2 linked regions of the Arabidopsis thaliana genome follow. The protein of the gene in region 2 interacts with the protein of the main gene of each other region in a biochemical or structural test. Each region holds a gene or a part of one and is shown on either strand. Other genes may lie near its edges.

Region 1 (7,771 bases), on a different chromosome or scaffold from region 2:
TGAAACTAGTTCAAGAAGGCGTAGGACTATAAAAAAATCTCCTCTGCAATCTCCCACTGATCAGCAGACAGGAGAGAACATGACAACTATACCTATTTTATCATTTGTTTCATCCGCAGAAGCTCAAACGGATCCATTTGATATGAGCACTTTGAGGAACGAAATAGCCCCTGAAGTTCTTCAATCAGATGTTCCCATGGAAGAAGAACAAAATCAGCAGTCTGAGACTGTTGCCTCTGAAGGTACCGGTGACCAGGAAGGATTCATGGAGCTAGATAAAATATCTGTTTCAAGTATCAGAGCAACTCATGTCCCGCTATATGACGGGAGCCAAACAATGAAGCTGCAACTCTTCCTTGGGGACAGACCCCTTCAGCTCCATTGTCCTCGTCTGAAAGTACGGTTTGGAATCAATGGGAAATTTATGGATAAAGCTGGAAGACGGAGGTTGAACTTTGTAATTGATCTGTATCCAAGTCTCTGCAACGTACTTCAAGAATGCGACAGTGCTGCACAGACAATATCTGTTGATTCAGGCAGTGGTTCTGACTGGAACCCTCTAGTCATTCCAATGAAAGGATTTCTGAACTGTCCCACTGCAAGGATACAGTATGTTTTCCTATATATCTCCTTTACTTATTTCATTTGCTTTTTTTCCTGATTATTTCTTTGTATGTGCAGTATACCCACAGAGTTAAATGGAGATATAGATCGGTACGCAGCTGAGATACACCAGAAAGAGTTCTCTGGAGCTACTGCTACTCAGAAACTCATTTCTAGCAACCCCAAGGCTGAAGAGATTGAGTCTTTGTTGAATCCGAGAACTGTTCTTGACGCTTTCTTGTCTCTGGAGCCATATGATTATCAGCAGAGAGCCGGAATCCGTCTAGTTGCTAGAAAGCTTGTTATACATTAGTGGACCTTACTCAATAGCACCACAGAGAATTAAAGAAATCAGAGTTTAGTGGACTGTAGAGATTTATTTATGTAGTCATGAAAGAAACACAGAACTGTTGTTCCTGACAGTAGATATACAGCTGATTATGTTCTTAGTTTCAGATAACTTAAATCCAAATTTAGATTTTCATATGCTTCTTGTCTGTGACACAATTGCATTTGTATTGTGTTTTTCCGAGGAAAGACAGAAGCTTTAGTGGTGGAAGACATGGAGCGATTATATATAATTATATATGTAAACACAGGTGAGAGAGCGAGGGAAAAACAAGATTCAAGTAAATGATACTGGAAGGAGAAGAAAGGTTAATACATCTGAGTACTTACTGAGAGAATGTGAGTGAACATGATAAAATACATTATATGTTTATCAACGAACTAAGCTAAACCCAATGAGAGCTTTTCAATGCTCTGTCAAAAAGTTGAGCCGCAAGAGCCAACATTGCCTTAGAGACAACTCGATATTCGATGTTTTTTTGGCTGTAGCAGTATCATCTTTTTCGTGTCAGTCGATCAACATCTTCTGTTGTTTGATAAGATGCAAGCAAATACGTATAACACAACGGTTTTCAGTTCTTGGTGTATCTTCAAGTTCCCAAAGCATCATCCTGAGGAGATGAATCCCGGTTCTCCTCTTCTTCTTCTTCTTCCTCCTCTTCCTCGTCATCATAGTCAGCAGAGTCAGGCTGTCCATTTAAATCAACATTCACGCCGTTCATCTTCCTAACAAACTGACCCTTAACGCGGGGTCTCCTCTCAGCAAGGCGTTTCCTATTCACATACCTAATCTTCTTATCAAAACAACGTTGGTTCCTTTTACGTCTGAATTTCAGCAGAGCTTCCTCTCTTCTGTCAAGTTTATTTACCCTCACCTCATTAGAAGGCGGATTTCCTGCCGGTGACCAAGAATGATGAACCATAGACATCTGACCATTCTGTAAAGACATCTGACTATGCTGCAAAGATGTGTTCATTGGGTGGTGGTAGTAAGGATATCCCGTCATTCCATTCGGATGATTTGGTTGGCAATGAGGAATTTGATGACCATATTGAGGCATCATGGCTGCTGATTGCATCATAACTTGGTTCATGACCCCATGCATATAGTAAGGATAGGCATTTGGTGCAGAGAAACCCGATCCATCAACTTGAGACGAATCTTTACTTCTGTTCATAGCAACTTGGGGAATATTCATATTGCCCTCTTGGTAGTTCCTACCATGAGATTCCATTGATGTGGGAAGCGTGCGTGACCGCTCAAGGGAATGTGGATAGCTGGCGCCATTCTGCAAGGTCTCTCCTTGAGAATGGTATTGCTCGGTCCCTCTACTTCTGTGTGCTTGTTTGGTGTTGTTGATCCCTTCACTAGCCACCACTTGAAACTTTTCCGCCGCACCCCGATGAAGATGATGTGAGCCATTTCCATTGACAAGAGGAGGATCCTGACCGTTAGTTCTAAGGACAGTAGATTTTGGTGTTGCTCTGCGTGCTTGTTTGGTGTTGTTGATCCCTTCACTAGCCACCACTTGAAACTTCTCCGCCAAACCCCGATGAAGATGAAGTGAGCCATTTCCATCGACAAGAGGAGGATCCTGACCGTTAGTTCTAAGGACAGTAGATTTGACATATGTAAAGAAAGCAGAGGACTCTCCGATCTTCAATCTACTTTTCTTCGGTGCTGAAGAAAATTGCGCTGCAAAACCCCTACTATATTAGAATTCACTAAAACAAAGGTTCTTTTAGAGACTAGCTATTAGAAAGTGAGACATCAAAGAGAAACAATCACCTGGATTACTATTTCTTTTCATTGGCTCATGGTGAGACCCAGCAAGATGATCCAATGGAGGCTCTATAGCAGTAACAGCAAGAGAAGAAGTGGCTGTTCCATCAGCACCAAGACCACCATCACGAGCATGAACAGGAGCAGTAGCAACAGACCACTACCAGCAAAAGCATGAGCGCAAGCTAAAAAATCAGTTCTTCTCCATTTTCAGAGGGCTTTAAACTGTCAAATACTTTCTCACCTCATTTTCCTGGTGACTTAAATTTCCTCTCTGTGGGTTGGTGGACCTAAGACTTCTATCATCTGTGTCGTCAGAGAACAGGTTGGTACTATTTGTGTTTGGATCACTTTGATCAGATCCCACAAGATCAAAATCATAGCTCAACATATTCTTCTCAGCAAGTCCTAGCTGCCAAAACAAATATATGAAATCAATAGCATTAACTTCATGCATCAAGGTCTTTTATTTCAGAAGACGACAGATTGAGAGATATGGCTATCAAGTATTGCTCAAAAACAGTAAGATAAATAGAGAGAACTTGAGACAAGCAAAACAAACCATGCGTCTTCTTCTCCACATGTGTGTCCACAAGTTCAGAAGCTCGTTGGTGCGAAGAGGCTTCACAAGGTAGTCAGCTGCACCTAGCTTCAAGCACTTTACAACGACAGGGACTTCGTCTTGCCTCGACATCACTTAAATTGAGAATATTATAAGATTAGTCAGTATAAAGCTAATGATCATGCTGTCAAAAGCACTTTGATAAGCAGAGAAGATACAACTTCACGAATAGATAATAAAACGAGAAGAGCAACAAAGAACACAGCTTACTTATCACAGGGATTCTGCGAAGATCTTTGTCTCGTGTGATGTACCTCAGCATCTTCATACCCTTAGCCATTGGGAGATCAATTTCCGCCAGTATTATATCGATATCAGGTCCCTCTGCATTAAGTGCATCAATCACCTGCCTTGCTGATTTCACTGCAGTCACTGCATTCCAAAAAGAATAAAAACAATTCATCCAATATATCATCATTGAGTCTTGAACAACAAACAGTTGAGCATAGTGTAAAAATAGAAAGCAATACACACTAGAGATGCATTCAAAAACTATCAATAAGGTACTAAAATCAACAAAGGTTAAAAATGTCATCTTGATCACATCTGACCATACTGACTCAAAAAGCCAGACGACAAGAACCTATAAGAGATCTGCAATCTAAAGTAGTAATCCCAACTTAGCAAAAAATAACAAAGTAAAAAGAGAAACTTTGGGAACAAGACAAGGACAAACCTATAAATCATACCTTGATAAGAACACTCTGAAAGGAGAGTAAAAACCTCTCCCAAACTCGTGGAATCATTGTCACAAAGCAAAATCCTGACTCTGCTTCTATCAATAAACCCATCTCCTCCTTTACACTCACCGTTCAAATCCATGATCAGATTAACAACTAAACCCACACAAAAAAAATATCTAATCACAGAACCTAAGAAAAAAAAGGATTATACAAAAGTAGAAGAAGTAAAGCCGACAATAGTAAGTGCTATGATACTTCCATGGCCAAATCAGAACTAGGGTTTTTCGGTACAGTGTCCCTACAAAGTCGCCTAATTTATCCCCTTAACAAAGTCAAGTAATCTCACAACCAAACAAAAACTACTCTTTTAATCCCCCAACCTAATCCTTTATCCATAAGAACAAACAAAAAGATAAATCTAAGAACAAAGAGCTGAAATAGGAAATTCTTTTTTCTCTATATCGAATCATGAATCAACAAAAAAGCTCAACAAAAGTCACCGGAGATCCGGCGTAACGCCGGCGGTGAGATGAGGAGGAGAGAGAGAGAAGGTGAATTTCCGACAAGAAGAGTGAGAAGAGAAAGAAGACTCATTGTTTTGTTTTGTCAATCAATGGTCAAATTATGAGACGCGAAAAAGAGAGAGAGAGATGGTAAATCAGAGACCGTTGAAAGAGGATAGAATTGGACGGTGGAGATTAAGTCTTTTTCTTACGCGTTGTTGTGTAGCTTAATGGTGGGACTTGGGATATTTTAGGCCAAGGAGATGACGTGGACAATAAAAAGTGCAGGCCATAAAAAAAAAGGTTGTGTTGGATAGTTTGGTTGAGATAGAGAAAAGGCCACGTCATCTTGGAGAAAATATCTCATGATATTTATTTTTGTTTTTGATATTATTGTGGTAAGATACAAGATAAGAAGATGCATCTCCATATCAAAATCAACAAACATATCAAAAGGTCGACAGAAAGAAAAAATTGCAAATTCTTTTAAAATATATGACCAGATCAGACCAAACCATCAGAAACCAAATTTTAGGATTCGGCTTCGTTTCGTTTATTAAAATATATTTATAACAACAAGAAAATCTATTATCAGAATTTTATTTTTCTGTTATCTTTAGGTACTGAAGAATTAAAGATACAAACAAAATAAAAATAAAAAACGAAAGATACAGATATAGAAAATTTTACTTTTATTACATCTCAATTTCTCATCACAAAAGACTCCTAAAAATTATGATTCTTTCTAAAAGCACAGGGTTATAGATATAACACTCCTTTCATGGTTGTTATAGAGGACTTATTTAGGCATTATGATTCATTAACTTCTTAAAGTGATTGAAAAATCAAGCTAAATGATATGTTGTAACAAAGTTTCAAGTGTTTTTTTCTAATGTTATAAGTGTATGTGTGCAAATTGTCTTGTAAACAGGACATTAGCAAGATGAAATATTTACCTTCTTAGCAAAAAAGATGGTTAATCTCATCATCAGTGGTTGGGAAACAAATAATCAAGTTGTCATAATCATAAAAAGAGATAATTAGTAGGCTAAACTTTTATATAGAAAGTAAGTAGTCGACAAGCTAAAATATTTCGTATTACCGATTGGCTCATATTAGTAGCTGCGAATATCGTTAGTACAAGTGGACCAATAATGCATGATATATTCTCAACTTCATCCACCGTAAGACACGTTTTGTCCCGGTCCAACTTTTATTACGTTTTGCCATCGACCATTGACCAATAACTTGTTTATGACTTTATGATGTTAATTATTCGTGTAATTTCAGAACTATTTTATCGGGAGTTCGATTTTCCAATATGCATCGGCGGCCTTCGAGAGTAATCATTCCGGTTAGTGACTTATAAGTTATAACCATCGTATCTCACGATTATCGGTTTTATCCGGTTCTGAATTTGAAGCGTGATGGAATGTAAAAGACTAAAATGCCCTTTTCAGACACGCGGGCAATGTTTCCAACAAATGAATATATATTGTTGTTGAGCCGAGCGATCTCATGAAATCTGCAAATTTAGGTCTTTTAATAGAAATCTGAATTTCATGTTGCTGAAAGAATTTACAACGAAGTTGTAAATACTCTGAGAAACATGTAAGTCAGGAGAGAGTCCCTTCTATGGTTTATATTTGGCGGCTTTTAAGAAGCATACGCATATCAAGTGTTTGATGAAATTCCTCAGAGAAGATGATGTCCACCACAGTCAGATTAAACAGGTTTACGTATCTAACGAGTACTGCAAAACTGACACGTTACTTTTGCTCTCACCATTTAGTTGACCGATCGGAAACGGCGTTGCATGAAGTTATTCGGATAGTTTCTTCTCCAGTTGGTGGTCTAGATGACCTTGAAGAAAACTTGAACCAGGTTTCTGTTTCTCCATCATCAAACCTTGTTACCCAAGTGATTGAGTCTTGCAAGAACGAGACTTCACCGAGAAGGCTGTTGAGGTTTTTCTCCTGGTCGTGTAAAAGCTTGGGATCTAGTTTACACGACAAGGAATTCAACTATGTCCTAAGAGTTTTGGCTGAGAAGAAGGATCACACAGCTATGCAGATACTCTTATCAGATCTCAGGAAGGAGAATCGGGCGATGGACAAGCAAACGTTTAGCATTGTCGCTGAAACTCTGGTTAAGGTTGGTAAGGAAGAAGATGCAATAGGTATCTTCAAGATCTTGGACAAATTTTCTTGCCCACAAGATGGTTTCACTGTGACGGCTATTATAAGCGCTCTTTGTTCCAGAGGACATGTGAAGAGAGCATTGGGAGTTATGCATCATCACAAGGATGTAATATCCGGGAATGAATTGTCTGTGTATAGAAGTCTTTTATTCGGGTGGTCGGTACAAAGAAACGTGAAGGAAGCAAGAAGAGTTATACAAGATATGAAATCAGCAGGGATTACACCGGATTTGTTCTGTTTCAACTCGTTGCTGACCTGCCTTTGCGAAAGAAACGTGAATCGAAACCCGTCTGGGCTTGTTCCTGAAGCTTTGAATATTATGTTGGAGATGAGGTCTTACAAAATCCAACCTACGTCTATGAGTTACAACATTTTGCTCTCTTGTTTGGGAAGGACTAGGAGGGTGAGAGAGTCCTGCCAGATTTTAGAACAGATGAAAAGATCGGGATGTGATCCGGATACAGGGAGCTATTACTTCGTTGTGAGGGTCCTGTATTTGACAGGAAGGTTTGGTAAAGGCAACCAAATTGTGGATGAGATGATCGAGAGAGGATTTAGACCCGAACGCAAATTCTATTATGATCTGATCGGGGTTCTTTGTGGGGTCGAGCGGGTTAACTTTGCTCTTCAATTGTTTGAGAAGATGAAGAGAAGCTCAGTGGGTGGTTATGGTCAGGTTTATGATCTGCTCATACCAAAACTATGTAAAGGAGGAAACTTTGAGAAAGGAAGAGAGCTTTGGGAAGAGGCATTGTCAATTGATGTTACACTTAGTTGCTCCATTAGTTTGCTTGATCCATCTGTCACAGAGGTTTTCAAACCTATGAAGATGAAAGAAGAAGCTGCAATGGTGGATCGTCGTGCTCTTAACTTGAAGATTCACGCTAGAATGAACAAAACAAAGCCAAAACTGAAACTAAAACCGAAACGCAGGAGCAAGACAAAGAAGAAGAATCTGCAACATTGATTGATTTCTTCTACCCATTGTTAAGAACATCTGATATAGCAGGCAATGTATCACAAGAAAC
Region 2 (6,754 bases):
CTAACTTGTTCGACAACATAGTTTTTGCAAGTTCAGGATCTGAGATGCATATCCTTGGCTCTGTTCCGTTCCAGTAAAGAAAAGTCTCTCCTAATAATATATAACATAGATAACTTGTGTGTTACGCATTATCCTCGAATAAAATCTAAAATAAAAGATGAACAAAGAGAGAGTTGGAGAAAACGACACCGTATTGAGACATCCATTTTTGATAATGAGGAAGAATACGAGGGAAAATATCATTGGAGCTAGGATCAAGAATCGAAAGATGAGATTCTCTCTTCATCTTCTTTATCTCGCTGAGGTTTCCGTAAAAGATTCTGTAATTTGGGCCTGAGATTCCTTGGTTTTTGAGTCTTCTGGTCAACACAAATGGATGCCAAACAAGAATCATAAAAGCTTTGAATATCCTGAGACCAATAATAAGGATTAAGACAATTAGTGCCAAGAAAATTACGAGCCCCATGGAAAAGTTTTTTTTTCCTTATGTTTGTGTGTGTGTATTGTTGTTCTTGGTTAGGTGTTTTAAGTTCTACACTATATAATGACATGCACATATAACTTTGTAAAATAAGTCTATGGCCAGTGAATGAAACACTATCTAAACACTACATGAAGTTAGCACAAACACGTCTGTTTATTTTCAATTTGAGAACAAACAAAAAGTAATTAATAAAGTAAAATGTGTCTTATATATGGTATGATGATAGAGTAGATTCTAAATATGCCTATAGCACATATTTGTTACGTAATAAGACAATTATAGAAAGTATATAAAAAATGAGTGGATAAAAGAAAAATATAAAATTACTCATGAAAGCTAAGTAATCCTTTTGGGAGAATAATTTAGTTTTAGCATTCATTGTATCTTAGGTTTACTGTTTCTGTATCTTTAAAATAATCCGGCATGGACAATGAATCAATGATTTGTTGTTAACATATCATTGTGAACAAAATACTTGATGAACTAATTGTTTGGAGAGTTAATTTGGTATTTGAATTCAAACGAAAATGTTATAGAAATAGAAGTACAACATTGTGAAAATAAATAAACAAAGATGAGAGATATTTATCAACCAACGGTGCAATGTGATGGATCGTGACATCGAATCTTAAAATGAAACACTTTTTCGTTTGTTATCTACTTTTGCATGGTTTCATATTTAAAGGAAGTGGTTGAAATTTTATTTCTATACTAAAAGAATTGGTTTAGACTTAACTATCCACTTTCTTTAAGTATCATGTTAACTCATGAAATAAGAGTCATCTATTTTTAAAAGAGAATCTTCACATTGATTTCAAGTTTTCAACGCACCTGACGCTAAAATATCAGAAATTCAATGTGTGAGTCTCATCTTCATCACACTATTGCACTCCCTTGTTTTCGTGTTTGAAAAAGCCCAATTAATTTTTTAATGTTTGAAAAAAGAAAGAATAAAGTAGATATTAGTCCACTAAAAAGCCCATCAAGCCCAAGTTTTGTAGTACTTTACTCAATCTCATCATTGAGATTGTTCCTTAATCCCAAAAACATGGCAAAATTCGTTTCAAATTACGATTTAGGTCAAATGAGTTGTCTTCATCTTAGTTGGGTTTGCGTTAAAATCGGTTTATCGTAATTGAACACTCATCATCATCCATCATTATGCAATTGCACGTCCTCTACTTATAACTTTGTTATAGAGTCTATGATAACTTATATTTGTTATATTTTACTTTGTACATCCACTTTGAAAATAGTTGGAATTAAGTTCAAATCGTTCCAAGAATCAAGGCCCAAAAGCCCATAGACTAACAACACAGAGTAGACGATCATTTTTTTTTGCTTAAAGTTAGTTAGTTGGAGAAAACATCAACTTTCTACAAATCATTAGTTTGGCGAGCGATAATAACTAAAACCGTTGCTTCCTCTATATTGCATTGCATCTTCTAAGTTTGAGGCGGACGCAGACTTTGGGAATTGAGTAAAAGAAGTAGCCTGAGTCTGAGAAACACACGAAGGCACCACGAATGGCTGAGAGCAATTTTCCAATGGAGAAAAGATAGGAGTGTTTGGAATTAGTCCACTTGGGTGATTAAGAAAGCTTAGCATTTGTGGTGGTGCATTGTTCATCCCCGGAAAACCGGTTGCTTGAACATTCATAGGCAGGAATTGCGGTATTGATGTTGGTGTTGCTGCTGCACCCATATGCATTCCTAGACCCATGGGAGAGTAATGACCCATTGGCAACATCGTAGGTGGTCTTATTAATCCATTTCCCATACTCATCATCTGTAAATAATTATTAGAGCATGTTAATTAAGAATCTTATATATATGTAAAAAAATTTGTAGTAAAATAAATAAGGAATAAACTTTTGATTGTTTATTGATTAGTGTTTAATTACGTTTATAATTTGTTTTGGTTTCTCTTATGAAACTAGTTTCTAGTGACTTTATCAAGAATCATTCGTAAAGGTAAAAGCCAAACGCAATAATATTTGATAACAAAAACACTTTACAAAGTATATTTTAATGTTAAAAAACAAATTTATATGTAAATATAAACACAAGTCTGTGTTTAAATAATTAACACCTGAATCATTTTATTATCTCTCAATGAAATTTTATTGAATTGGTGTATTATTTTGAATACCTGAACTTGAAGTTGAAGGGTCCGCATATATTTGATAGCCTCATCCAACAATGAAGCCTTATCATCCTATCATCAACAATTACAGATATTCAGAAATCTCCACAAAGAGAAAATTAATTAACTCTCTAAGACTAAGTAAACAATGTAATGTGATTTAAGTTAATCTCAAACCTTGTAACAATTTGGTAGTAGGTCCTGCAAAGCACGCATTTTCTTGTTGAATTCATCTCTTCGTTTCTGTTAACAAATCCTTAATTAGCATTAATTTTCATACATTATTTTTTTTCTACTAACTAAGGTGAAATTTTCATACATATAAACTCACTCTTTCATATAACTTATGGACTTCTGTGCTTCGTTTTCTTTTAGTCACCGGCTTTCTTGTTCTCGCATGAACTTGTGTCTTCGCATCATCTGATTCATCATCTGAATTCTGCATAAGCAATAAGAAAAAGACAATTAATGATCTACCATGTGAAAGAACTAAGACAAGCAGCTAATTAATTTCTCTTACATTACTTAAATAGGTTGATTCTTCTTCTTCAATATCTCCATACTTCCTCTTTAAAGAACAACAACTTAGATCTCTCGAAGTTCCTCGAGAAAACTTCGATGAAGAAGCAAAATACAATTCCGTGGATCTACCAACAGCTGCAGATTGCTCATCAGGAGGAGCTGTAGTAACTTCAACATTCTTTGGACCTTTAGCAGAAACATCAATTAATGTTGATGATTCAACACATTTGTTGCTTTTCGAAACATTTCTCTCAAATTCGATTTTGGAGGACTTTAGCTTCTTCTTATTGTTGTTCATTTGTTCATTGGTTTCTTTATCTTGTTGTGGCTTAGACTGACTCACCGGAACAACTTGTGTGTCTCCAAGAATCTTGATGTTTTTCTTGAAACCCTCGCTGTACTCGGTCTCATACAAATCCAGGAGAGATTGCCTACGTTGCTTTTGAAAAGAACCGTTGTTCTTTGGTCTTCGAATCTTTGCAAGAATCTGCCCATTTTCACACACCAGCTCCATATAATCTTCATCTTTTAATCTGCAAGAAAAGAGTCACGTATAAATAACCTATTAACAAAAAAAAAATAGTCAGGAGAAGACAAAATTGTTTCAAGCACCGACAGAACCATAAGCGCCCATTATTTCAAAACCACGCATGTGTATATGTTTATAGAAGTCGCAAAAAGTGTAGATGAAACCATAATAAACTTACTTTGGTTTAATGTTTGATGATGGAGAAATCATGTTTGGTTCAGATGATGATGATGCTAAGGGTTTTGCTTCCATTGAAGTAAACTGAACAAAGCTTTCTTTACTTGTCTTTTTTTTTTTCCGGTTTTTGTGAATTGTAGAATCAGAGAGATTCGGACTTCACACTTTGGTTTTCTTTCTTGGGGTTAATGAAGAGCAGCATATATATATATATATAGTCGGTTGTATATATGTATATTCGCTTATTTCATTTATGATTGATTGATATGGAGGATTTGTTTTGGTCCACAACTCATATATTTATCCTTGAATCGTGATTATGACACAGTATGGAGAATTAGTACAAATTATTACCTTACAAACTTTGGTCGACTTCAAATGTTACATTTCAGATTTATAAAATTTACAGTTGCTTTTTTTTAATACAAAACGTATATATTTGTTTGTATATGTGAAATGAGTTTTCGCACGTTTTATAGAAAAAATATAATCATAAATTCATAATAACATAGACTATACTATATATACGCGATAAAGAGTAGTATAAGTATTCATGTTAATGTGTAAATCTTTCATTTTAAAACAAAAATATTGATGGAATAAATGAAAGAAGCAAGATAATGTATGGGCGATAGTGAAAGACAAAGAAATAGAGAGAGAGACATTCTTATGACCGACTTCTCTACTCTCCACCGCTCCATTTTTCTCTGCTTTCGGAAAAAGAATAGAAAAATTAAATAAAAATAAAGTCAAATCTACGATTGCAATTCCTTTTTTTTTTTTTTGTCTTCATCTAAAATGAGAAAATATTAAGCATGATCATTTTTTTAACGTCTGATCCGTGAATTTTACTTGAGCACAGTCAGATATATATATACATATATTTATATATGGTTTTGTGTATTTCCTTTTTATTTAAAAGGTCAGGAAAACACAATGTAGTAAATAGGAAAACACAAAAAAAATCACTCCCGATGATGCTCCAACAATAATGCAACTAGTATTGATTTTTTCGTCATGCAAATTCCTATAAGAACGTGTTCTTAGAAAGTTTAGGAATAAATTCCAAACTATGCAATGACAAAGCGTCCAACTGAACTTACTAAATAATCTCCAGTATTGGAACACACTATTTCTATATTATGTTCGTGTGTTATTTTTTTTATTGAAGATAAAAGTATTATCAATAAGTAATACGCATGTTCAATTGTTCACAATTAAAAAAGAAAGGTCAAAACTTAGGTAGACCGAAAAAAAATCAATAATGTTGTTATCAAAAATAAAACAAAACACTAGTAAAACTGTAGTGAGTGACATGCGAGAGAGACGGGCACAAAAGGCCCACGTGAGCGGAAAGAACCTTCACGCCATTATTAAGACATATATGGATGGGCCCTTTCTTAAAGGCTTTAGTTTTCTCTTTAAATGGGACCCACAATTAGGCTTTTTTTGGCCAAGTTCACGTGCACTTCACGTGAATGCCGCGTGATTCATCCACCCCTTTGTGTTATTTTGTCTCCCTCCCTTCTTTCTTGTTTGTTTCTAACGACTGCTACTATCTTGTCGTCTTCTCCATTTTTACCCTCTCGACACATTCTAAATTCTTTTACCGACCGTAAAAAAAGAATCCTCTGTGATTTGAGATCTCTCTATTTACAAACAAAATTATCTCTACCATGTTTTTATCATCACAGTAAAATTGTTGGGTCCAACATTTTATTTTCTGTTTCATTCGATTGATATCGAATTGTGACCATTCTTTGTTCAGTTTGGTTTTGATATTCAATATGAAATACATCTCTGTTAAAGTAAAATATTGTAATTAAAATTCACATCAACGTCTGCAAAATATTCTGGTTTTTAAAAGAAAAATGTTTGGATTGGTTTTGCTTCGATATATATCAAGATATCAATAACCTAATTAAAAGTTGTTGGTTTAATAAAAAATATCTGCAGTTGCTGGCAAAAATAAATTAAAAAGAAACCTTCAAACTGCTATATAAAATAAGGCTCTATGATATAAGTAGTTTTGTAGTGGTTCAGTGAACAATAAACTATTCTATACGAATACGAATCAATGACAATGAGTCAAAGCATCATCTACTATATCTTCTTTATTCGCCTGAACTCATGAGACCACTAAACCAAAGGCTGGTTTTGCTTGAGAGGTTTTTCTTTCCTGGTTAACACAGTTCGTCTAGTTTATGTTTTAAAATGGAGAATAACGACGTACGTGTGGTTGATTGATTCTGTGAGACTCAGTGTCAATCATCCCTCAAACATTCTGCGACAATCATCTTCAGCTGCAGCATCTTTCCTCTCGCAGACTGTAAACCAATACGTCATTTTTAAGTTGTGCTTTTGAATTCATGATTTAACCATTTTTAGAATCTGACTCTTAAGAAGCAGAACAATGACTTGCCTTGTTTACAGAATCGATTCTTTTGGTCGCATCGTCCAGTTTTGTCTCGATGCCTCCTTCAAAATGTGCAATGAGTTTTTGGTGTGATGTTCCTGTCATAGAGAGATAAAAAGTTATCAAGTGAGTTTAGGAAATACTTGTCCTCCTGCTATTATTATATTAAAACTATCTTGCCATGAAGAATCTAACTTTGATAACATCATATGTTTCAAGTATTTCTAGTGTTAGAATTCGTTGTAGTAAAAGCAGGAATTACAGAAGTTAACATACTTTGCTTCTTTATGCTTCCTTTCAGCTCTGACTGGTTTGCTTCAAGCTCTTCGATAGTACTCTTAAAATCTTCAAGATGATGGCTGACATCGTCCTTGAACTTTTCATGGATCATTCTCATTTTCTCTTCTTGCTCTGTTAGACGATTAGATATTATCAGTGAACACAATAGATCAGAACGGATCTTGCATATTTTTATTCAATG

The links.
Region 1: the proteins of PIL1 (region 2) and TOC1 form a complex in vitro, tested with the Arabidopsis thaliana proteins (one study listed by BioGRID).

The regions. Positions count from the first base shown.
Region 1 is NC_003076.8:24,671,947-24,679,717, reverse strand, and holds TOC1 (CCT motif -containing response regulator protein), read right to left. Parts: upstream 4,756-7,771; 5' UTR 4,179-4,755; coding exon 4,046-4,178; intron 3,729-4,045; coding exon 3,567-3,728; intron 3,431-3,566; coding exon 3,297-3,430; intron 3,147-3,296; coding exon 2,979-3,146; intron 2,895-2,978; coding exon 2,741-2,894; intron 2,648-2,740; coding exon 1,542-2,647; 3' UTR 1,168-1,541; downstream 1-1,167. Other genes in the region: AT5G61390 (Polynucleotidyl transferase, ribonuclease H-like superfamily protein), read left to right, coding at 1-609, 682-916; AT5G61370 (Pentatricopeptide repeat (PPR) superfamily protein), read left to right, coding at 6,247-7,710. UniProt on the Arabidopsis thaliana protein: Controls photoperiodic flowering response. Component of the circadian clock. Expression of several members of the ARR-like family is controlled by circadian rhythm.
Region 2 is NC_003071.7:19,293,747-19,300,500, forward strand, and holds PIL1 (phytochrome interacting factor 3-like 1), read right to left. Parts: upstream 4,113-6,754; 5' UTR 3,933-4,112; coding exon 3,859-3,932; intron 3,792-3,858; exon of another isoform or gene 3,776-3,791; coding exon of another isoform or gene 3,768-3,775; exon of another isoform or gene 3,685-3,767; coding exon 3,150-3,684; intron 3,069-3,149; coding exon 2,961-3,068; intron 2,873-2,960; coding exon 2,807-2,872; intron 2,702-2,806; coding exon 2,636-2,701; intron 2,273-2,635; coding exon 1,871-2,272; 3' UTR 1,685-1,870; downstream 1-1,684. Other genes in the region: CYP709B1 (cytochrome P450, family 709, subfamily B, polypeptide 1), read right to left, coding at 1-90, 190-466; ASY3 (asynaptic protein), read right to left, coding at 6,122-6,184, 6,280-6,371, 6,550-6,684. UniProt on the Arabidopsis thaliana protein: Transcription factor. Involved in responses to transient and long-term shade. Required for the light-mediated inhibition of hypocotyl elongation. Necessary for rapid light-induced expression of the photomorphogenesis- and circadian-related gene APRR9.